Linked DNA regions of Pelodiscus sinensis. The protein of the gene in region 1 interacts with the protein of each later gene in a pairwise test. Links are inferred from orthologs where the notes say so. Each region holds a gene or a part of one and is shown on either strand. Other genes may lie near its edges. The genes, in order: HPGDS, MELTF and ABHD17A.

Evidence for each region.
Region 2: the proteins of HPGDS (region 1) and MELTF interact in binary tests that used the Homo sapiens proteins (3 or more experiments, as listed by UniProt). The two-hybrid records come from large-scale screens. The link is inferred for Pelodiscus sinensis from reciprocal best matches to the Homo sapiens genes HPGDS and MELTF.
Region 3: the proteins of HPGDS (region 1) and ABHD17A interact in binary tests that used the Homo sapiens proteins (3 or more experiments, as listed by UniProt). The two-hybrid records come from large-scale screens. The link is inferred for Pelodiscus sinensis from reciprocal best matches to the Homo sapiens genes HPGDS and ABHD17A.

The regions. Positions count from the first base shown.
Region 1 is NC_134715.1:19,155,953-19,164,281, forward strand, and holds the start of HPGDS (hematopoietic prostaglandin D synthase), read right to left. Parts: upstream 3,352-8,329; 5' UTR 3,234-3,351; intron 1-3,233. UniProt on the Homo sapiens protein: Bifunctional enzyme which catalyzes both the conversion of PGH2 to PGD2, a prostaglandin involved in smooth muscle contraction/relaxation and a potent inhibitor of platelet aggregation, and the conjugation of glutathione with a wide range of aryl halides and organic isothiocyanates.
Region 2 is NC_134720.1:55,816,983-55,824,456, reverse strand, and holds the start of MELTF (melanotransferrin), read right to left. Parts: upstream 3,329-7,474; 5' UTR 3,062-3,328; coding exon 3,016-3,061; intron 1-3,015. UniProt on the Homo sapiens protein: Involved in iron cellular uptake. Seems to be internalized and then recycled back to the cell membrane. Binds a single atom of iron per subunit. Could also bind zinc.
Region 3 is NC_134729.1:28,056,326-28,064,059, reverse strand, and holds the start of ABHD17A (alpha/beta hydrolase domain-containing protein 17A), read right to left. Parts: upstream 3,275-7,734; 5' UTR 2,985-3,274; intron 651-2,984; exon of another isoform or gene 520-650; intron 425-519; exon of another isoform or gene 403-424; intron 1-402. UniProt on the Homo sapiens protein: Hydrolyzes fatty acids from S-acylated cysteine residues in proteins. Has depalmitoylating activity towards NRAS. Has depalmitoylating activity towards DLG4/PSD95. May have depalmitoylating activity towards MAP6.

The DNA.
Region 1 (8,329 bases):
GAGGATCCCTGCCAGAAGAGACCAGCCCCTCTGCAGTGATGGAGTCATCTCTGAACCTGAGGCTCATTCATGGAGCGTGTGAGTGAACCATCTTTTAGTTAGTCAGTCAGGGAATTTGTTTGGTGATTTTATTACCTGCTGCATATTAAACCTGTGGAGGGATTTACCACCTTCTCCCACTTGGGAGTCCTTTGGGCTGTACTGGACCCAGTCAGCCCCACTGCTAAACCACTGCAGAGACGAATTTTGTGGTCATAAGTCATCAAGGGCCCCAACAAAGTACGTGTACCAACAGGACACTGACCTTACAGTTGCTGGGCACCGGTGACCCTAAAAATAGTGTTCTACCCTGTTCTGTTATTTTTGTCTCCTGTTTAATATAATTGTGTTTATTATAGTGTATGTGTTTGTGTTATTTTCTGGGAGTCTCCAACTATCTGGCAAATAAAATAAATTAATGGAGATTGCCTATCTCCTAGAACTGGAAGGGACCTTGAAAGGTCATTGAGTGCAGTCCCCTGCCTTCACAGAAGGACCAAGTACCATCCCTGACAAATTTTTGCCCCATGTAAGGATTGAATTCACAACCCTGGGTTTAGCAGGCCAATGCTCAAATCACTGAGCTATCTCTCCCCCCTATAGAGGGACTCCCTCGGTTAGAATATTCCGCCCAAGCTGCCCTGGTGACCCTGCCAGGAAGGAGTGAGGGGGGTGGAGGCACCGCCAAATAAATCCATTGGAAAAAATAAAGTTGAGTGGGTGGCGGGATCCAGAAGAACCCAGACCTGTCCACCAAAACCTGTAAGCAGATTGGCCTTAAAGAAGGTAACCAGGTGGAGAGGGGGCGCTACATATATAGTATAATATAGTATATATTTGTGAGAATTTGTCTCTGCATCTGTGTGTCTGAATGTTCAAGAACTACTCCTAAACAATAAAGAGCTAAAACCACTAAATTCCTCTTATGATAACTTAAAGCAACATAAGGGTTTGGTTGCACCAGGAAAATGGGATGTACCTGGAACAGGAGTGCTTCTCATAAAACCATATAGCAAAGAGACAGAATCACCCAGTCTGGGACTGCCTCAGCCCTGAGCCTCCCACCAGCCAGACTGAAGCTCCCCCCCTTGATTCATATGGGAACATTGCTGGCTGTTTTCCTTCATCAGGGAGTGAGGAGGAAAGTGCACCATTTGCTGCATTCCTCACTCTGGCTGTGTTTACACTACACCACTCTGTTGGCAAAGGGATGTAAATTAGACGTATCGAAAGTACAAATGAAGCCGGGATTTAAATATCACATGCTTCATTTGCATAATGGTGGCCGCTGCTTTTTTTCGAAACGGGGTTTTTGAAAAAAACCGGCAGTTTAGACGTAGCCTCTGACTGGGGATTACAGGGGACAGGTGAACTTGGATCTGCCCTGGCCAGGGGATATGAACCCCTCTCCCAATTCTCTCTGCTGGACCTACAGTGGCCATGGACAGGTGCTTCTCACCTGGCATGGAACTGCTATGAGGAGTTAGAGCTGGGGTAGTCCTCTCTCCCTGGGGGCAGCCTGTATATTGAACCCCTCATCCCAGCCCCAACCCAGAGCAATGATTTTAATGAATCACATACATATTCACTCAGCTGAAGCATGAACCTTAAACTAGTCATTTTTTCCTGGAAATATGAAACTAAACTTATTGTACAGAACCACTTTGTAGGTGTTATCTACTGTGTGTTTAGTTTGAAAGACATCTTTCTCCCCATATAACATCTGAGATAAAAATATAATTTAAGTGTTATGTTTTGCTGTACACAAAGAGGAACTGCATATTTTAAATATATAGATATATTTTATTTTAGATTACGAACAAGAAAAATAATGAATAATCTCCAGGTGAGAAGTGAGTAAGTACCTCATTTGCAAAAGTTTCAGCAAGTAAATCAGTACAAAATGGCTGCTGACACTGCAGAGTTTTCAGAAATGTAAAACTGGAGTGCACAGAAAGCAATGGCAGGATATTTCTGGCTAAGGATATGCAATGTTTTTTGTGTTAAATTGCACAATAAAGTTATTGCTATAAAATGAAAGTGGCTATTAGTGGAGGACATTTGCTCATGTGGATTTTGTGCACAGGTGTATTTGTTGAATCGAGGTAGGTGTCAGATAAAAGTCAGGGCAAATATTTACAAATGACGTAGAACATTAAAAAAAATCTATTTACATTCTGAAATAACAATGGCTGAATTGCAAAGAAAAGAAACACGGCTAACATAAATTATATTTTCTATTTGTCTTTCTCCATAATAATTCTGCATTGGATACAAGTCTGTGTGGTTGGATGAACGACGAGAGGGGACGGCGTAGAAAACAATCAGTATGAAGCCCAAAGGTACTGCTTAGTGTTGTTTAATAGTCAGCTAATTCCTTTGACATTAACCTGATTTTGGGCTGGTTACATGAAGAGGTGCTGGAACCAGTGGTGTGGCAGCACCTCTGTCTTGAACTGATTTCCATCATGTACAGGGTTTACAAATATGTTCAATGGATTTCAGCAACGCTATTGTACAAATTATTCCAGCACTCTGTTTATACAGATGAAGGTCAGCTTTTATTTATAAAAGAATATTATTTTGATTTCATAAAAGGCTCAGAAACAACTTATTTCAGAATGGGAGTTGCTCTCTCAGGCTGATGTGTTATTTTTCTGTTTAAATGTGTCTGTCTCTTCTACAGTATCTCTCTAACTCTTATTAGACAAAAAGCATCGAGACTATCAAAATGGATCTATACAAATAGCCCCCGTTCCTCCTCATTTAACTGATGCTATCTCCCTGAGCAGGCTGTCACATTGCCTTTTGGCACTAACTACAGTTCATAAATTTAGATTGTCCAGGCAGTTCAGTGCAATATGCAGTTAAAAGAAGCCTAAAGGCAGAAGAGCTGGTATACTGCAGTTATGTTTGAGATACACTTACAAGCTAATAGATATATAGGAACCATTGCACATAACTAATTAGTATACCCGACTCTAGCTAGCACGATTAATCCCTCAGTTCTGTGTTGGATCAAATTCCCAAAACTGCAAAAATGATACATGTTAAATACCTGCTGTATGGCAGGAAAATATAGCTCCTAGCAGTAATGTATTTAAAGGGGGAAGAATAAGACTGGAAAAGGAAAACTGAAAAGAAGAGAGAGAAGTCAGTATTTCTGTCATATTCAATTCTTAGATATCACTCACTTCGATTGCAGTAATGTCTAGTCAGTGTAATCCTTCCTTCCACGAACAGGAATTTCTCTGAATGCTAATCTGGTTTGAGCGGGGGTTATATATCACTGTATGAATATTCAGACCACTCCCAGTACTTCCAACTGTGCAATCATGAGCTTCTTTACACATGCTCACATATGGAACACATTTAAAGAGTAGCAGACACAGATCATTTCCTCAGCTAAAGATATCACATACATAATAGTCCAACAGAATTCATGGTTGAGAGCTGTCAGCCTTTTCATTTAAAGTTTAACTGTAGGAAATATAAAAAACTAGGTCAGAGTGCAACAAAGATCGCAATAAAACCATATCTTATTGCTGTAAAAAGTTTAGAAGCCATGAATATTCTGTCTCACATTATCTGCAAATTAGGCAAATCCCTCCAGTATCTTCTCTAATTATGCAATGATTCGTTATATTACTGCAGCCATATTAGAAGCAGGGGTGGGCACTGAAAAGAAATAAAAATTAATAAATACAATTCAAAAGTTTTATAAGCCACCATGAAGTGCTTTTGGTACATTTCTCTTATACCAGTGCAATAAAAGTCTAAGAAAACGTTCATAAATCTGCACCAGTTCAATCTGACTAATTGCTTCTGAATTTTATGCATGCACAGAAGCATAAAACAGATGTTTTTACTTATTGGAAGTGGATGGCCAGGCTGATTTAGACATATAAACACTAGCTCAGACTTAATTTTAACCTAACATTTTTCACCTATGATAGTTTATTTACTAGTGACCATTAGGAGACTTCCACCCACTTAAGTTTAACTTGCATTCTGTTGCAATTCAGGTAGATCAAACTATATGTACAAAGAATTGGTCGTCTTCTGTTAAAATGTCCCAGAGTTTAGATCATTAGGGACGGAAGGGAGGGGGTAAATGCAGCTGTCTCTCAAGGCTAGCTCCTCAGCTGACATTAACTAGCATTAATCATTTGAGTCAGTGGAGTCACAATAATTTATACTGGCTGAGAATCTGATCCCTTTCACTTGCCATAGGCTTGTGCCTTAGAGAAGCCATTTCAGGCTCACTGTGTCTTACTTTGTAACTTGGGTGTACTAACAATACCTTACCGGGGAGGGAGGCGAAGGAGGGTGCTGCTTTGTTTATAAAAATTGCTTTCTGATCCTTGGATTACAAGAATGTCAAATAATTTTAAATGCTAATTATTATTTATTACTATTTATTGTGATGATGATAGAGCAAGAAATAGAATCTTCTCCACTGGTCCCCTACAGCATAGTTTAGTATTCACCAGGAATTGCACCGAGCTGCTATCAGCATTGCTCCTCCTCCTGTTACCATGAACAGTATGTGCTGAAAGTTCTTGTTCATTTTTCTGGCAACTTAATCTTTAAATAGCTTGTTCAACAGAAGATTAAAAGGAAGGGACAGTCTGGTATTGTTTACTGTATATTTGTGTTTCTCAAGTTGAAAGGGACTGCTGATGTTGGCCAAAATTTCAGCAGCATGTTTGGAAGGACATTCCTCTAGCTCTATTTTGCCTCCAGAGGGCAGATAAGGCCTTGTCAGCACAGTAGCTTGCTGCGGTTTAGGTAAAAGGATGCAACCCCACTTATTCCAGTTCTCATTATTTTATCTTAAACCTGTTCCTGATCATCTTAACAAAAATAAGCCACATTCTCCACCAAGCTGCCTTAGGTGTATCTCCATTATGTAAGCAGTATAGTAATCCAATCTGAGGTGAATTGTTCAGTTCAAAGTCCTCCAACCCTGACCATTGTAGTTATATTGGGTCTAAAAATTGTTGCTTTTGAGCCATTATTTACAGTTCCTGTGCACACCACAGTTTCTATCACACATTCAGAGCCCAGGTTTCCATTATTGTTATCTGCCCAAATCTAAGCAAAATCTCACGGCTACCCCCTGCGCCACCAGTTTGGTGTCAGCCTATTTTTACTTCTTCAATTTGGTGTCAGCCTATTTTCTCAAACTGGATGAGGAATGATCTTTGTGTACTTGTGCGGCTCTGTCCTTGTTGGCCTTGAAATTATAACCCCTCTTTTTGTGACCAGTCTTTTCACATACCACCAGCCAGGTGAACTGATTCCCCTATCTTCTACATTTTTGCAAACCAGTTTGATTTTTACTAAAGAAATGTGACTATTTTATAGCACTTTCAAGATACCATTAATTGAATTAGAACCTCTTGTCTCTGATTTCTATTAGCAGAGCTCATTTGGAACATAATACAACAGAGCCACCAGGTGATATCTGCGGTAAGAAAAGGCATAAAACCTACGACAGCCAGAGGTTGAGGCCTAATTAATATATGTAAATGTTGATCAGCTTTCTTCACGGGGACAGAGGACAAGACTAACCAGGGCACCTTCATGAAGGATGTGCTAATTCTTATGGCAAGCAGCACTGATCATCTGCCACGTTGGTGATGAACGCTATAGAAATTATTCTAATGTCTGCACTACCTCTCTTCCCTCCTCACTGTCACTATTACAACCTCTTACAGGAAAGAGGAGCTTGATACAGTCAGGCTTCACTGTGAAGGGCTTCTCTACACAAAGTTTTTGCCAGTTGCATAATAAACCTTAATTTTGGCATTTCTTAATTTCTGAATGCTTGACTTGACAACTTTCTGTAGCTGAGTAACCAAACATACAGGCTACGTCTAGACTGGCATGATTTTCGGGAAATGCTTTTAAGGAAAAGTTTTCTGTTAAAAGCATTTTCGGAAAAGAGCGTCTAGATTGGCACAGACGCTTTTCCGCAAAAGCACTTTTTGCGGAAAATCATCCGTGGCCAATCTAGACGCGATTTTGTGCAAAAAAGCCCCGATCGCCATTTTTGCGATCGGGGCTTTTTTGCGCAAAACAAATCTCAGCTGTCTACACTGGCCCTTTTGCGCAAAAGGAAGTTTTGCGCAAAAGGAAGTTTTGCCCAAACGGGAGCAGCATAGTATTTCTGCAAAAAGCACTGATTTCTAACAGTAGGACGTCAGTGCTTTTGCGGAAATTCAAGCGGCCAGTGTAGACAGCTGGCAAGGTTTCCGGAAAAGCGGCTGATTTTCCGGAAAAACTGGCCAGTCTAGACACAGTCACAGTGATCTAACTTCAGGCTGGGTGACAGTTTTCAGCCAAAACTTTGGTTTTTTTATACAAAAAATACAGATTAGGGTCAAATAATGGTATTTTGTTAATTTGTATTATTTTTGTATTTTTTAAGCAACTTGTGATGATCAACAGAAAAAAAGTAAAATTGGAAATGTCCAAACAGTTCCTGCAGAACTGTCCAAAATAAAATATTTGGAAATTTTGGGGATAGATTTGGGTGCCATTCAGAGAACCAAGGAGCTAGAGTATCTCTGGTAACCTCTGGCCCTGTGGTTTGGATGCTCACCCAGGATGTGGGAAATCCAGCTCTGGAGCAGGGACTTTGAACCCCTCTTTGCACCCTTCCGCTGAGTGTGCTGTCCCTCAACCTAAACAGTTGGCTTATTCTGGACCCTTAGCCCATTCTGGACCCTCAGCCTGGATCCTAAGCCTATTCTGGACCAGATCTCTCCCATTCAAGCTGTCTACTTTGTATAAATAATTAAATAATCAATATTTATTGGACCAGAGAAAGGACACTCTAGCCTGGTGGTTAGTTCACGTATTGCAGAGTAGCCAGGAACTCATTGTTTCCAGTCCCATTCATTTACATCTGGGCATATTTATTTATACCAAGTGGAACAAATTCAACAGGAAAGATTGAGAGAGCTTTTCTCCAGAATATCCTATTGTCTGGGAGTCAGGCTGTGTCATACAACTGGAGAGAAAAGGAAGGGGTTAATGTCCCTATTCCAAAGCAGGGATTTTAACATGGGTCTTTCATGTCCCAGATGAGTGCCCAAATCATGTGGCCAAATGCTGGAAGGGGACCACTGCCACCTCAGTTTTGTGAATCTGGCCTTTCATTTCCTTTAGGTTTGTTAAAACACACAAAACAACGTTTAATTTTATCTCCTAAAGACTTGTCTCCAACTTCTTTTGTGAGGCAGTATCTTTAATTGGACAGCTGCTGTTGGTGAGAGATGCAAACGTTTGAATCCCACATAGCTCTTCTTTATCAGACCAGGTACTCCCAGTGTCGCAGCATTGTGTAAGGGACCATTTAAGTTAAAGTTGCCCATTAAAACCTCTGCAAAGTTAGGACAAAAATCAGGGAATTGCGGGTTACAGATTATTGTAATAAATCGTATGTCCCGAGTCTCTATTCAGTCCATTCTTTTAGTGTCGAGTAGAGTAGTGAATTTAAGCTTCCTTGCTCATCTTTTGAAAGCATCGTATACATTTTATTTTGAGGATGAGAACTTGATAAATCAGATATAGAATGATCATTTTGTTCATCCAGTCTATATTGACTTCACCTATGTTTTAGTCCAGAGGGCAGGGTGGGGAGAACTCCAGGGCACCAGCCACATGCAATTATTTATACAAAGTAGACAGCTGGATTTCCCACATCCTGGGTGAGCATCGAAACCACAGGGCCAGAGGTTACTAGGGATACTCTATCTCCTTGGTTCTCCCAGACTGTGGGAGCTGCAGGAAGTTGAGTGAGCCATCTATTTTTGGGATAGATTTGGGTGCCACTTCCCAGAGCTCCCATTGGCTGACAACAGTGAACCACAGCCACGTGGGGCTCTGTGCCTGCTGCTTCTCTGATTAACAAACTGGTGGCCCGCCAGCACCTAACCCTGACCAGCCATGTGCGGTTGGCATGTCGGAGGTTCTCTGCATCCGTTTTAGTGTATATAATCATGTTCATGCTTCAAGAACCTATCAATACCTTGCACAGGAGACCTGCAAAAGTAGAACATTCTCCTCCACATACACCATTTTGAAATACCAGTGGATTAATGGAGAGCTTCATGATGCAGTCTTACAAGTACAGTAATACTCCCATTAACTTCATTGGGATTATTTGGACGAATAAACATTGCACAGGATACTAAGGGTTTTCTTCAGGATCATGAAGTAGATTCATCATTCTGAAGAAAAAAAATCCCTTTCCCTGATAGATTCTGATCAGGTCCAG
Region 2 (7,474 bases), on another chromosome or scaffold:
TAAAAGCATTTGCGGAAACAAGCATCTAGATTGGCACGGACGCTTTTCCGCAAAAGCACTTTTTGTGGAAAAGCGTCCGTGCCAATCTAGACGCGCTTTTGCGCAAAAAAGCCCCGATTGCCATTTTCGCGATTGGTTTTTTTTTTGCGCAAAACAAATTTGAGTTGTCTGCACTGGCCCTTTTGCGCAAAAGAACTTTTGCCCGAACGGGAGCAGCATAGTATTTCTGCAAGAAGCATTGATTTCTTACATGAGATCGTCAATGTTCTTGCAGAAATTCAAGCAGCCAGTGTAGACAGCTGGCAGGTTTTTCCACAAAAGCAGGTGCTTTTGCGGAAAAACTTGCCAGTCTAGACACAGCCGAAGAGTCCTGTGTCAGGGCACTATAGCTTGTTTCGGGAGATCAAGCAGTTCACGGAAGCTCAGGTGACCTTGGGAGAACAAGGATGCACATTGTCTTCTTCATTAATCCATGTACAAGTTCATGATAGTCATTTTCCTTCATTGTGGAAGCTTCTAGCATCCCACAGTCAAAGACTCCACTTTTTCTATTAAATGCAAAATTATTGTATTTCCAACTATTGCTCAGTGCCTTAGAACATATGGCTAAGTGCTATTCTCCAATAGCCGTGTTCCTGTTTCCGATACAGTGGTCTGTGAAGATAAGACTTCATTGTGCAAGGTATACGATCACTTTTTACTCTCATTAATTTGTGAGATGAAAAATAAACGGCCTCTGCCTAGCTCCACATTTTTTTAGCGTATGTAATGAAATAGCATGAAGCCACCTCTTTCTTCCTCACTCAGCTTACGGGTGCTTAGTGGAAATTTCTCTCTTGCTAAAATGCATCTTTTCTCTCAGCATCTGGCCAGGTGCCTTCTTGTCATAGAGGATGCCTTTTAGTCTGCCAGAGGGAGTTAACCCATTTGAGGTGGAGCTAGGAACATAGAGAGGACTTGTGGTTTGAGTCCTCTGCTACAGTTGGCCAAGCATGTGTTAAAACAGCAAGCTAGTCTCTGAACTGTTTACTCAGTTTCCTGGTGCTCCACAGAGGTACACTAAATTTGAGATGGTGGGGGCTGGTAACCACGATTTGAAATACATTCCTAGGCCCTATGATAGCATAGTCTCAGCATCAGACTGTCAAACAACCTATCAACTGCTTTAGCAACACAACAATACTGGTGTTGTGCAGTAGTGGGGTAATGTACTGCACTTTACAAAAGGATCAGGAAAATGTTAAGGGACATTAATATTCTGTGGGAGTTTCAACAGGAGCTCTCTCAATGAGGAAAAAAAACAAGATCATTTTACACATACACAAGAGCTTCTCTTTTTCCTGAAAGATTTCAAAGTGCTTTAGAGATAGCGAGCCAGCAGGCATCTGATCAGTCAGTCAAACCTTTGGACTCCTGGACATTCCAGACAGAGCTGTTGACATTTATTTCTCTCTCTCTGCCCTGTGTTCATTGACTGTTTGCTCCGACCCTACCTTCCCCTCTCCGCTCCCTCCAGTCTCTTTACTATAAATTCATTCCATACTTGTCCCCTCCCTTCCCTTTAACTGATCTCTTCCTAAGTACACCCCACCACCCTTCAAAGAGGAAACAAAATTGTGGACCTAACATGCCATTTACCACTGCTCCATGTTCACTCTGTGTGTTCTATACCTCTTGCTCCCAGTGTCTCGCTTGGCTATTTAGACAATATTGTCTCCTTGTACTCTGCCTTCTGTCTGTTCCATCTATTGTTGTCTTTTGTCTTGTACTTAGATTGTAAGCTCTCTGGAAAGGGAGTTTTTTGACCTGTTAGTACAGCGCCTAGCACAACGGGGCCCTGGTTCATGACGCGGATGCTTAGGGTCTACAATGACAAAAAGAATAATAAAAATGAATCACCTCAGGAGTGGGAGAAAAGCAACACAAATCCTGATGCATAACAAAAAAGGTTGGGGAATATTAGGGCATCGCAGATCCACATAATCTATGCTATGTCCCAGTTTTTAAACAGTCCCTCGGAGAAAAGTGTGCCAGATGCCCCAGAGATCCCATGTGTTATTAAGGGTAGATCATATGGTTGCAACATTTCTGCGACTGAACCTCTTGGTGCCAACTCTCCTGCTTCATACCCATGAGCTCTGCTTAGCAAGTGCAACTGAGAGAGTCTGATCAGGAGTCTTTACACACTTCGGGGACCAGATCAACAAGTAGCAGCCATGACACTAGGTAGCCTTTTTAAAATTGGAGAATTTCTTCAACAGGAACAGAGCAGTGTTATTCCCCCCTGAAAACTGCTGGCCCTCCCAAAAGCCAACTCTCCTTCCAGCCAACGTAGGCATTTCAGTCCATTGTCCAACACTTGCAGGCCCTTCCTGAGTTCACATATCCCACCTGGCAGAGATTTCCATGGATAAGTATGAATTGTTCAGTCCTTGGGTTTCCCGTTGTCTCTGGTCCCTCCTCTGACATGGGACTATTTCAGTCAGTTTTTAGCACCACATTCATTCCACCCCCACACTGTGTGACACCTCCTCATGTTTCATGCTCTGTCCTACAAGCAGCTTTTTAATGCTTCTGCACTCACTACAGTGCAAAGTACAGAGGGAGGCCAAGGCACATGATGGAACAATAAAATACACTACAGCAAATGCCCACTTTATTAAGTAGCACAATCACCTACAAAAAATGGGCCATGTGAAGCTGTAATATTCATGCAGAGCAGGTTGGTCCAAGATCCCCTCTGAAATAGCCAGCCAGAATAAACAGCATGGGACCAACAGAAGATACAGAATCAATGTGGCCAAATATGTGATACAAATGAAAGGGAGCCAATAATGATTTGTTTCCCCTAACTCAACTGCCTGTTCTCCCACCACGTCCCGCTCACCTGCAGAAACACAGTGATTATGAAATTATTTTCATTCTGCTTGTGCTGTATCATCTCACAGATTGGTCAGTCCCAGAGGTACCAAACAGCAGCATGAACATTGTCTCTTGAGATTAGCAGGCACTTACCTGTGTGAAAGAAGCAGAAACAATAAGCCATGCTCTGGAAGCTCATGATGAGGTCTGTGTGTATGCAGTGCCTTCAGAATTCCAGCAATCACTACTTTTATGGAGCACACTTTTCACTCTGCCCCTTTCCAGACCACGCCCTGTTGGAAACCAAGATTCTCACATGGCCACGTGTGCACTGCAAAACAACAGTTACTCTCAGTCACTCCACCACACAGTCTGTTCTAAACAGAGAGGAAAATCTGCATCCGTTTACATGAATTGCAGTCTTCAAACAGAAAGCCAAACTCCAAGCACAAAATACCTGGGACAGTGGAGATTGTGACCTGTCATTGTTTTAGCACCACCTGCTGGGTCAAATTGGTAATAACATGTTAACAATTTCCCTTGCAACAAACCCTGTCGCCAACTTTGTCCACATATCTACTCTGGTGACACCATCACTGGACCTAACCATGTCAGTTATATGATCAAGGACTCATCTTCCTGTTCATCCAGCACACAAACATGATTTGTGATTTATGCCATCATGTGTCAGCAGTGTCCCTCTGCAATGTATATTGGCCAGACTGCTCAGGCACTTCGCCAAAGAATCAATGCTCACAAATCAGACATCCGACATCTTCACAAAGAAAAACTTGTTAGTCCACATTTTAATCTACCTGGGCATTCCCTTGAAGGCCTCACAATGTGCATCTTACTTCAAAGAGACTAACACAGATTACAGAAACTTCAGAACTTTCATTCATGCTTACATTGGACACGGTACGAATGGACCTTAATAAAGATGCTAGTTACCTTACATATTACAAATACAGCTTCTCCACTTATTGATAATCCTAGTAACTTCAGATTAGCCACTCATTGACTTAAAATAAACTATTTCCTCCTTCCCTCTCTCTACCTTCTGTTCTAAAATCTGATTTGTTAGTTTATAATGTATTCACTTTCTTCATTGTATTCCTTTGTTATATATGGTCATGCCAGTTCTCTTTCAGAATATGATCTGAAGAAGTGGTCTGGTTCATGAAAGCTCATCACCTAATAAACTAATAAACCTAATAAGCTATCTTGTTAAAGTGCTACATATTTTTTCCTTTTGTTTTACGATAATCATGAGTGTGGAATAGGATCATGAAATAAAGTGTAGGGAGATCACAGAAAGCCTCCCTCTTCCTCCAGAGCAGACACACACACATGGAGCAGCTCTGAGCTTAAAACAGCGGCAGCTGTGTGCCTGAGGGTCCTGGCAGAGTGGTCCGTGGGCAGGTGGCTTGGCAGGCCCACTCTGGCCAGCAAATTGTATCTTGCCCACCCCTGGTCTAGTCTGTAGCTCACTGGTTAGTATATGCTCCAGAGACATGGCAAATCCTTATTCAACTCCTTTCTTCTCAGGTGGAAGGGAACTTGAACTGGGATTCTCCCACATCCAGGTGAGCACCCTAACCACTGGATTAAAATTATTCCTCCCCTAGGCTTCTTGCAAAAACAGCATAGGTGCCTAATTCTAAGAGCAGGGTTAACAACTGGGAAACCCAAGCAAATGGAGCAGCCCAGTTTTAGGTGCCAAACTGCCCAAGCAGTACAGGGTTTAGGACAACTCTTACCTTGGCATCTCTCATTGGCTGGGCTAGGCAGGGTGCCACTTAACATATTGGCTTGTGTGAATCCCACTCTCAGCCAATACCTCACCCCCTTCATTGCATAGAGTGCCCTGGTGCCTAACTCAAACCTCATGAATCAAGTTATTTTCTAGCTGCCTAAATATTTTTGTGAATATAATCCAGTGTTGCTACCATCTGATTAAGAATAAACACAACTAATAAACAAAATTTAGCACAAGTAAGACGTCTTTAAGCACCCTGTAGGTAGGTGGCACGTGATGTGCTGAAGAAACGTCCCATGTAATAGCAAATTGATTAAGAAAATTAGAAGAGAATTCTCTCTCCTTTCTGCAAGATGATTATAGAAAGAATCTAATTCACTATAAAATTGCATAGAATGTTATCCAGTTAATCAATATTGATATAACCCTTCAGAGTTGTGCTGTCAACAACAAGAGGAGCTGGGTTTGGAGGGTTCCTTGTGAATGCTTAAATACCATCTGCTCAACCTGCTACTCAGAAACCTGGGAACTAGCTGTACTACCTGTTGCTCCCTAGATAGCAATACTTCCCCACTTACATACACTGATTCCACAGGACTTAAACTTTATGAAAGGGGGATGACACTGAACTTGAGAGGGCCGGCAGTCATTAATTTAAACACACTCCCTGCCCTTCCCCAGGAGTAGGTTACAACCTACATCTTTTTCTTGAAGTTGAGTGGGGCTGGTACATTCTAGTCACTTTCCTCTTCTCTTCCTCATAGTTTGTTATACTGGGTTGGTGGGAGTCCAAGGATTCTAGCAAGTCAGTGCAGTCTGCAGCTTTACCATCGAAGGCGATTTCAGCTCTGTTGTGTAGGGAAGCCCACATAGGTAATTCAGTGTCACCCATTCCTTCAAAGCCACCTCTGCACCATCCAATGGCTTGTAAGGCACAAAATTTGTATCTGCATCTGTAAAAATGAGCTGTAGATAGCCACATCTGAGGATATAGTGGAGAGCTGCAAATTTGCAGAGTTGTATACTCATCACAGGCTACTTCATAGTTTTGGGGTAAAACCTGTTTTGGAGTGCTGGTCTCCCTTCTCAGGGGCAGACTCTTGGTTGCATAGGGAGATTGGGGGGAAGCCGGGCTCAGCCACTGCTCTGGGTTCCAGTCCAGGGACCCTACGGCAGTGGCAACAGGCAAGGTTATTGCCACTCCCAATCTGGCAGCTTTTCCTTGGGCTGCTTCCCCAAATGAGCCCTCCCAGCACCTTTCCTCTAGTTCCTGCGCCTCAGTCCTCAGCTCTTACACACACCACTCTGTCAGCCGACGGTCAGGGCAGAGAGAGAGAGAGAGAGAGAGAGAGAGAGAGAGAGAGAAGGTTTAATGTCTGTGTCTTTACCACTAGGACCGGGGTCCCGTTGCGGAGGGCAGCCAACAGGCTGACAGACGCCCCAGAGTTTACAAGGAGAGCTTACTACATCTCAGATTTCAGCTGCTAGGATACAGGATCCCTTCGCAGCGGGCACTCTAGGGAAGACTGAGAGATGCCCCAATGGATCTGTCCCCTGGGAGGGACACGAACCAAAACGCCCCAGCTCTTCCTATTCCTGTCCCTTATGACTGGCTGAAGTTCTTTTAAATTGTGCTTGGTTCTGTTACAGCAACTGAAGGAGTCAGGTTAAAGCTTAAACAGTTACAGGTTTATTAAAGAAGCCTATAAATCATATGGTTACAATGGCTACTGCTCTATTTCTTAACTGCTAGCAAATATAGATCTTAAAAACGGTTACAAAGAAAATATAGAAAATAGAAATAATGGTACCAAGTGACAGCTTAATCTTTAAAGAGCTCTAAATCTATGTGTACACTTAAGACAAAGGGCACATCCAAGTACAATTTTTACCCCCTTCTGTACCTCTCGACTCCAGTGGGTCAAGCCAGGGCCGGTCCCTCAATTCCTAGGAAAGACGAATACGAGGTGAGCATCCCAGTGGAACCTCGGGAGGTCAAACACCTAACCCAATGAACAGATAGATGGTAGATTGACACTCAGAGTAAGTGTGCTGCTGGACCCATCTTTATACCCATAGGGGCCCGTATCCTCTTTCTTATCTAAGATGCCAAATTGTACTGGTCTGTCTTTGTGGCGCCAGTTCTTACAAGGGAGTTGTGAACTTAATTTACACTTGTAAGAGAGAGAACTAAATTGGAAGTACTGGGCATTCTTTTCTCAGTGGGAGAGTCCTCTCCCAGGGACGACTGTGTGTGATCGTATCAACATAGGTGCTAGCCAGGGCAGTTCTCGCAGCCTCGAGGTCAGCTTATTGCCTTAATCGCTCTTTTCTCATATCTATGTTTTCAGCTTCTCAGGATCAGATGAGCCAGCATAGACTATGCTGATTTTATTGCTCCTTCTCTGTCCTGTATGCTTCAGGAACCTCAGAGAGGCAAATAACATGTGTGTGTGTGTCTGTCTACACACACTTCCTCCTTTCAGCCCTTCACTTTTTCCTTCCCCCTTCCTTACCTGGGCAGAACCTTTTAAAGCAGCTCCATAGGGCTTAATTGGCTGCAGGGGTCTAATTTGCCTGTAGCTTCCAGCAGGCTCTAATTGTCCCCAGGTGCCTACATGATAATGCTGCACTAGGCTTGGCTCTGTTAACTCCAGAAAGAGAACGTTGGTCACCCAAGCCACAGCATGCCTTTCCTCCATTAGTGTGTGCCAGCCAGCTGGTCTGGGTCTGTCACAACTCTTATCCACAAAAACAGGCTATGAGCATCCACATCTGTGGAAGCAGATACTGGCGGATATAAAGCACAATCTGCGGATTTGCAAGGCTCTTCCTGTTCTTAGCATCACATTA
Region 3 (7,734 bases), on another chromosome or scaffold:
CCACACAATACACTCACCGAAAACCACCCACAAACACCCACACAACGCACCACAGTCATTAGAAACCACATGCAGTATGCCCACACAACACGCATCGGTCATCAAAACACACACACAGCACACATGCCCTCATCGAAACCCACACAAACCCATCTCCATGCTGGGCTCCACTCACTGAAAACCACACACAGTTCACCCACCCAACATATACCCCACACCAAAAAAACCACACACCGCACATCTACACAATGCACCCAGAACCACACATACACCCAGACTGACAACAACCACATGCAAGCTGTACCATACATCTATGGAAGCCACACTCTGACCAATGCACACCCATTGGTACACACTTACTGCACCTCAAACCCCACACAGCACACATCAGCCAATGCCCACCAAGGCCCTGATCCTGCAGTCTGATGACTGCCGGATTCCCTGCCCCCACCCACTCAGGCTCAGCTCAGATGCTGGAACACAGGGCTAGCATATTGCAGGTGTGATGCCCATACGCACGGTCGCGGCACCACATTCACTCCCGCAATTCCCCAATGCCCAACACGCCGGCGGGAATTCTGCGGCACACGCTCCCAGCCAGGAGGCGGAACTCAACGCACAGCCAACTAATGTGGTTCCTGCAAGTCAGGGCAGAACCTCCCAACGGAGGAATGTTCCACTAGCCTAGACCCCGAGGAATTCCTCTCCAGCTGCTTCCCTCCTTCTGCAAGGCTGGGAAAGCAGAGGAAAGGGTGGAGGGAGCGCGAGGCCTGTGCCATTCAGCATGAAACAGGGGGCTTATATGGAAATATTTCTCTGCCGAATAACTGCCCATTCCCCCCCCCGGGATCCCAACATGAATGGATTCTCCCGCTCCCCCAGTGTGGTGCTTGTTTTACATTCAGGAGCAAATTCTAGCCTCACCCCAGTGTAAATCCCCAGTTGCTGTGCAGTCGGGGGAGTTCCTCCAGATTTAGGCCTGTGCATGCAAGAGCAGCGCATTGGGCCTCTGATGTGACCTCCCCCTGCCTCTCAACACAAGCTGCCAGGGGGCTGGAGGAAGATGGAAAATCATCTATCCCCCTCCCCCGCACTGCTCCCCAAAACAACAGGTCCCAATATCAGCATCTCACTTCCATTCTTCCCCCCTGCTGGGAGAGGTTTGCTCTGTGCAGCTGCTAGACAGGAGATTCCACCCCCCAGCAGAGAGATACAACCTAGAGAACCACACCTGTCCACGCAGAGATACGCGTCCGCAACAGAGACCTTAGACGCACGTGCGGCGGCACGACTTGTCCGCAGGCCACGCATGCATTGCTTCACCGGACGCGTGTGCCGACCCACCAGTACACCACAGGCAGCGTAGAGACCACGCTCAACCACTAACCTGTGCTTGTGTTTTGCAGACACATGTGCCAGAATACACGGTCCTGCACCCAGCCACCAGGATCCCAGGCACACGCCTAAGTCTGCTGCACACAGGCAGGACAGAACGGCAGCATCCACACTCCAGGCTCACCCCCAGATCTGCCCATACCTCAGAAATGCAGGATAAACCCTCCACCCCCACCTCCTCCTGACATGTCTCCATACAGCCACTGTGTGTTACACTCCCATACCTGGCTGTGCTAGACACACACACACACACACACTTATCTAGACGGCAGGCCCAACACATGTCAGTGTCTGTGCTACAGAAACACTTATCTGCGTCCCCAGACACACCCGGAGGGTGACACTAAGCGGGGGAAGGACTCAGCCGGGGGGAATCCAGCCAGCCAATGGGCTCCCCCCCCGCCGCCACACGCACACACTCCGGTGCTGGGGACGGGCCCGCACCCCGCACGTCAGGAGCCAGCGAGACACCCCGCCCCCCCCCCCCCCACACACACACACATCCTGCAGGCGCGTCGGGGCTGCTGAGCAGGGCAACTTCGGAGCGGTCGGGGCGGGGGGAACCGGGAGCTCCCCGGATGGGGGGGGGGCGGGGGGAGAAGGGAAAATCAGCTGCTAATGCTCGGGGGGGGGGGCGAGGTGACTGCAGCTGGGGGAGGCGCGGAAGAGGGGGGGGGCTGAATGTGCTCCCAGATGGGATGGGGCAGCGAGGGGCGGGGCGGGGGACTGGCAGTGGAAGGGGGGCTGCCGGGGGCCGGACCGGGGGAGCTGGGCAGGCCCGGGGATTGTAGCGGACCGGACCGGTTGCACAGGGCTGGTCCAGGGGCTGCAGGGGGCCGATCCGGGGTTTGCAGGGGGGAGGGCTGCAGGGCCGGGGGCTCCCGGGGAGGGACTGCTGGGCAGGCCGGGAGGTGGGGGGGGGGCTGCAAGGGGCCGGGCCGGGAGCTGGGGGGGCTGCAGGGGGGGACTGCAGGGCCGGGGGCTCCCGGGGAGGGGCTGCTGGACAGGCCGGGAGCTGGGGGGGGACTGCAAGGGGCCGGGCCGGGAGCTGGGGGGGGGGGCTGCAAGGGGCCGGGCCGGGAGCTGGGGGGGGGGCTGCAAGGGGCCGGGCCGGGAGCTGGGGGGGGGGGGCTGCAAGGGGCCGGGCCGGGAGCTGGGGGGGGGGCTGCAAGGGGCCGGGCCGGGAGCTGGGGGGGGGGCTGCAAGGGGCCGGGCCGGGGGCTGGGGGGGGGGGCTGCAAGGGGCCGGGCCGGGAGCTGGGGGGGGGGCTGCAAGGGGCCGGGCCGGGGGCTGGGGGGGGGGCTGCAAGGGGCCGGGCCGGGAGCTGGGGGGGGGGCTGCAAGGGGCCGGGCCGGGAGCTGGGGGGGGGCTGCAAGGGGCCGGGCCGGGAGCTGGGGGGGGGGGGCTGCAAGGGGCCGGGCCGGGAGCTGGGGGGGGGCTGCAAGGGGCCGGGCCGGGAGCTGGGGGGGGGGGGCTGCAAGGGGCCGGGCCGGGAGCTGGGGGGGGGGGCTGCAAGGGGCCGGGCCGGGAGCTGGGGGGGGCTGCAAGGGGCCGGGCCGGGGGCTGGGGGGGGCTGCAGGGGCGGGTACCTGGGTCTCGTGTCGGTTGCAATCTCCCGAGCGGGCGGCAGGTCAGGGCTGGTGCCGGGCCCCGCTCCGAGCCGAGCCGGTGCCGGGCCCGCTGGCGCGCTGAGCAGCTGGAGCCGGGCGCTGCCTCCCGCATCCCCCCCGGGACTCCTCCCGGCCGGGCCCGGCGCGCGGCGCTGCTGCTCCCGGACGCTCCAGGCTCCTGGGCCGGGGCAGCCCGAGTCTCCGCCCCGCGCTGCGAGCGGCCAGTGGCGGATGTGACAGCAGCGCCGCCCGCACTGGAAGTGACGCCTCCTCCGGAGTCCTGCTGCCCGCAAAGCCCCCGGGAAGGAGGAGCAGGAACCTGGCGCAAAGACGTGGCGGGGAGGAGAGAGCCCGGGCGGGGACCGCGCGCCCTGGAACGACCCCCCCCCCCCGCAGGGACTGCATGCGCTGCAATGCCCCCCCCCACAGGCACTGAATGCTCCCCATGCTGCAGCGACCCCCCCCCCCCGGGAATTGCATGCTCTACGCGCTGCAATGGACTCTCCACAGGGACTGCATGCTCCATGCGCTGCAATGACCCCCCCCCCCACAGGCACTGAATGCTCCCCATGCTGCAGCGACCCCCCCCAGGAATTGCATGCTCTACGCGCTGCAATGGACTCTCCACAGGGACTGCATGCTCCATGCGCTGCAACCACACCCCCCCCTGTAGAGATTGCATGTTCGCTGGTCTGCAACACCCCCACCCACGGGGACTGCATGTGCTGCAACAACCTCCCCCCCCCCCCCCGCAGGGACTGCATGTGCTGCAACAACCCCCCCCCCCCCCCCCCCCCCCGCAGGGACTGCATGCTGCTCAGGCCGCAACGACCCAGCCTCCGCGCAGGGACTGCATGCTCCACATGCTGCAGCAACTCCCCCCACAGGGACTTCATGCTCCATTGGCTACAACCACACCTCCCCCTGCAGAGATTGCATGTTCGCTGGTCTGCAACACCCCCACCCACAGGAACTGCATGATGCATGTGCTGCAACCCTCCTCCCCCGCAGGGACTGCATCTTGCACCAGCTGCAGTGATCCCTCTCTGCAATGTATGCAACCAGAGGTGCACGCTTCGTGCAGTTTGTGTATGTTGGATGCATAACTAATAGGCTGCAGCAATTCCTCCCTCCCCCACCCCTCAGCAGTGTTTGCATGGCTGCTATTTCCGTGCTTAATTGGCGGAACTATTTACCCCTGCCTCCGTTTGCAAGCCCAAGCTTGCTTCATTTGCAGCACCCAACCCCCCTGTTGCCTGCAAGCTGTGTGCATGCTTTATCCTAGGATCCCTCCCCCCGCCTGTGACTGGAAGCTGTGCAAAATGGGGTGGTGGGCTACTGTACTGACCTTTTCCCCATTAGGGATGTTAAATATCGGTTAATCGAATAGTCGATTAACCTCTTGAATTCTTATTGGTTATGTGACTATTCTATAGGCCCCAGGGGCGGGGCCAGCAGCCAGTGTGCTCCAGGCTCACGCCTGAGGAGCCCCCTGCTGCTCCATGCTGCTGCCTCTGAATCAGAGGCAGCAGCGCGACGTGCCAGGCAGGAGCTGGTCTGCAAGGGGAACTGATTTAAAAAGTGATACAGAGGCAGCAGTGCAAGGTGGCAGCAGCCCCTGTCCAGGGGAAGGAGGGGGAAAGAGGTCTCAGCTCCCAGACCTGGCACAAGCTGGAACTGAGCAGGGCTGCTCACTGGCTCCTACTACACTTTAAATGCAGAGCCGCAGCAGGGGTAGGTCCCGGACCTGGTGCAAGCCAGAACTGAGCCGGGCTGCTGGCCAGCCTGCTAAAACATGTACTGGCAAAGGGGAGGGGGGGGCAGATGGGTGTAGTCTATGGCATTAACCAATAGAGTTGCCAGATGCTTTCACAAAAAAATTCCAAACATGGCAGGGAAAAAAATTGGTTGAGCAAAAAAAAAGAGACCAAACTTGTTGAGTGGGGGGGAGGGGGAGCTCACTCCCTGCTCCCCCTGCCAGACGCAGCAGGGCAAAAATGTCCCTGCCAGCCTTCTGCCTGAGAAAAACAGAAAACACCGGACATTGCACCGGACGTATCCAGTGTTTTCTGTATTTTTTTACCGGATTGAAGACGCAATTACCGGACTGTCTGGGTGAAAACCGGGCGCCTGGCAACCCTATTAACTGATCAGCTTTTGCTCATCGGTTAATCAAGTTTACTCTTCCATCCCTACTCCCCATTGCCTTATTTGCAGGCTGGGAACAAGATTGTGCAGGAATGTGGGCGACAGAAGCTGGAGTCTGCTTCAATTGCTTTAAAAACTCCTCAAGAAGAGGCCACTCAGCTCCGGCAGGGAGCAGAAAAGGCTCCAGCATGATGGGCACCATCCGGTGTGCGAGGCAGGGGACCCCCATTACAAGCCCACCAGCTGCATCCCCCGGGCCATGGCTGGCACTATCCAGCCAGCATCCCTGGTGAACCAGGGATAAAATGACACACAGCAACTTTCTGAAGCTTTTTATCTGTGGAGCTCACGGCGCTTTACAGAATGGGAAACTGAGGCGGGCAGGTGCATGTCAGCCAGGGCTAGAATGTAGGGAGGTGTCTGGGTTCTCTTCCTGATGCTGCTGGGTGACTTTGGACCAGTAGATTCTCTGCCTCCCCAGTACGTTCTACTTAGGGTGTGACTTGAGGACAGGTACTGTCCCTCACTACCTGGGTGTATAGCCGCCTGTAGGCGCTACCCTCACACAAATAACAGCTCTCCCAATACCCTCCCACCCGTACTGCCTTTTGCCCCAGTGTCAATCAGTTTAAATACACCCCTGGGCTACGTCTAGACTGGCATGATTTTCCACAAATGCTTTTAATGGAAAAGTTTTTCCGTTAAAAGCATTTGCGGAAAAGAGTGTCTAGATTGGCACGGATGCTTTTCCGCAAAAGCACTTTTTGCAGAAAAGCGTCCGTACCAATCTAGATGCGGATTTCCACAAGAAAGCCCCGATCGCCATTTTAGCTGTCTACACTGGCCCTCTTGCGCAAATACATTTCTGGAAAAGGGCTTTTGCCGGAACGGGAACGTCAAAGCATTTGCGCAAGAAGCGCTGATTTCGGACAGTAGAACGTCAGTGCTTTTGCGCAAAATCAAGCGGCCAGTGTAGACAGCTGGCAAGTTTTTGCGTAAAAGCAGTCGCTTTTGCGGAAAAACTTGCCAGTCTAGACGCAGCCCTGGAGTTTACCTGCTGCGGCTCCTCTTTTCAAAGAGGCCCGAAGCGATGCCCACGGGAGCTGCCGGCTCCTGGCCCACCCAGCCTGTCTCAGATGCCTCAGTCCTAATCCTCCTGCCAAGCTCCCAGCACCGCAGATGGCAGGAGGTCCCTTCCGGCTGGAGCACAAGGCAACGGTGACTCTCCTGCAGCCCCCAGCTCTGATCCCACTGGGAGAGGACCGGCTGGATCTGCCGCAAAGCCAGTTCAGGACTTTGCCTGCTGAGCCCTGCCTGGCTCCAGGCACTTCCTGGGCTAAGGACGAGGGCAGTAAAGCCTAGTGGGTCAGCCATTCTCAAAGCCGGGGAAACTGGCGCACAGCGGGGCAGTCTCCTCGGTCCCAGGCCAATGCTGTACCCACTGGGCTGTGCTGGGGAACATCAACACAACTGAAATTTGGAGAAAACTGAATTTGTTTTGCGTTTTACAGCGTTTTATTATTTTTGTTCTTTTTACACCCAAAAATGTCATCGCCCGCCCAGCTATGATGAAGTTGTTTAAACAAATGTGATGCAACGGTAGAAAAACCTTGTGTGTGTCTGAAAACTGTAGGTTCCGGGGGTACTTATATTTTTTTAAAAAAGGGTACTTTCTAAGAAGAGGTTGAGACACACTGCATTAGGCTTCTCTTCTGGCCTTACGGTCGCTGACTCCTGCCCCATCTCCGGCTACGTTCATTTCATCAACCAGCCCCCTTCTAACCTTGCGCCCGCAGCGCAGCCATGGACACCTGTGCTGGGTAAGCCTCTTGCAGGGTTCACCATCTCCGCCCCCACCCCACCTGTGCGTCCTTCCCTCTTGGAATGAGCTTCCCCAGAGGCCAGGGCAGAAGGAGAATTAAGCCTGACGGGGATTAGAGAGTTCTGTGGGCAGTAAAAATAAACAAGGGGGAAGGGAGGGGACGGAGAGAGCAGAGCAGCATACTAGGCAGACAGGACTCCTGAGTTCTAGTCCCAGCACTGAGAGGGAGAGGGAGAGAGTGGTTAGAGCAGGGAACCTGTCTCTTGCTGTGAGGGGGGGGGCTACCCCATCTCCTCCCTGGGCATCAGCTTCCCCAGCTTTAAAGCTAGAGGGATAAGGAGGGAGCCCTCTCTGTAGAGCGTCAGCTGAAACAAACCACACAGCGGTGGAGGATTAACACACAGGATGTGGCTCTCCCATGCATCTCAGCCCCCACCTCCAGCCTCCTCCCTTCCCACCAGAGGTAGCTGAGGCATCAGACCAGCTTCTGCCCGGGGAGAACGAGGCTGCAGAGGGGGTCTGTGATGCTGGCAGGGATTCGGAAAACGAGCCCAGGGAGTGGAGAGGAGATTGAACAGGTGAGCCCTGAACTCCTCGAATTCCAGCTCCCTCCCATAGGCCAAAAAGCGGTTTGAGGGCCAGCCGTGTCAAGGAGGCATCGTTTGGATCGAGTCTGAGCCCGTTCAACCTGGGCAAGAGAATTTCACGTTCTGGCCTGCGTCCCCCTCCCGGGGCTTTCCTGCTTCCACATGCCCCACG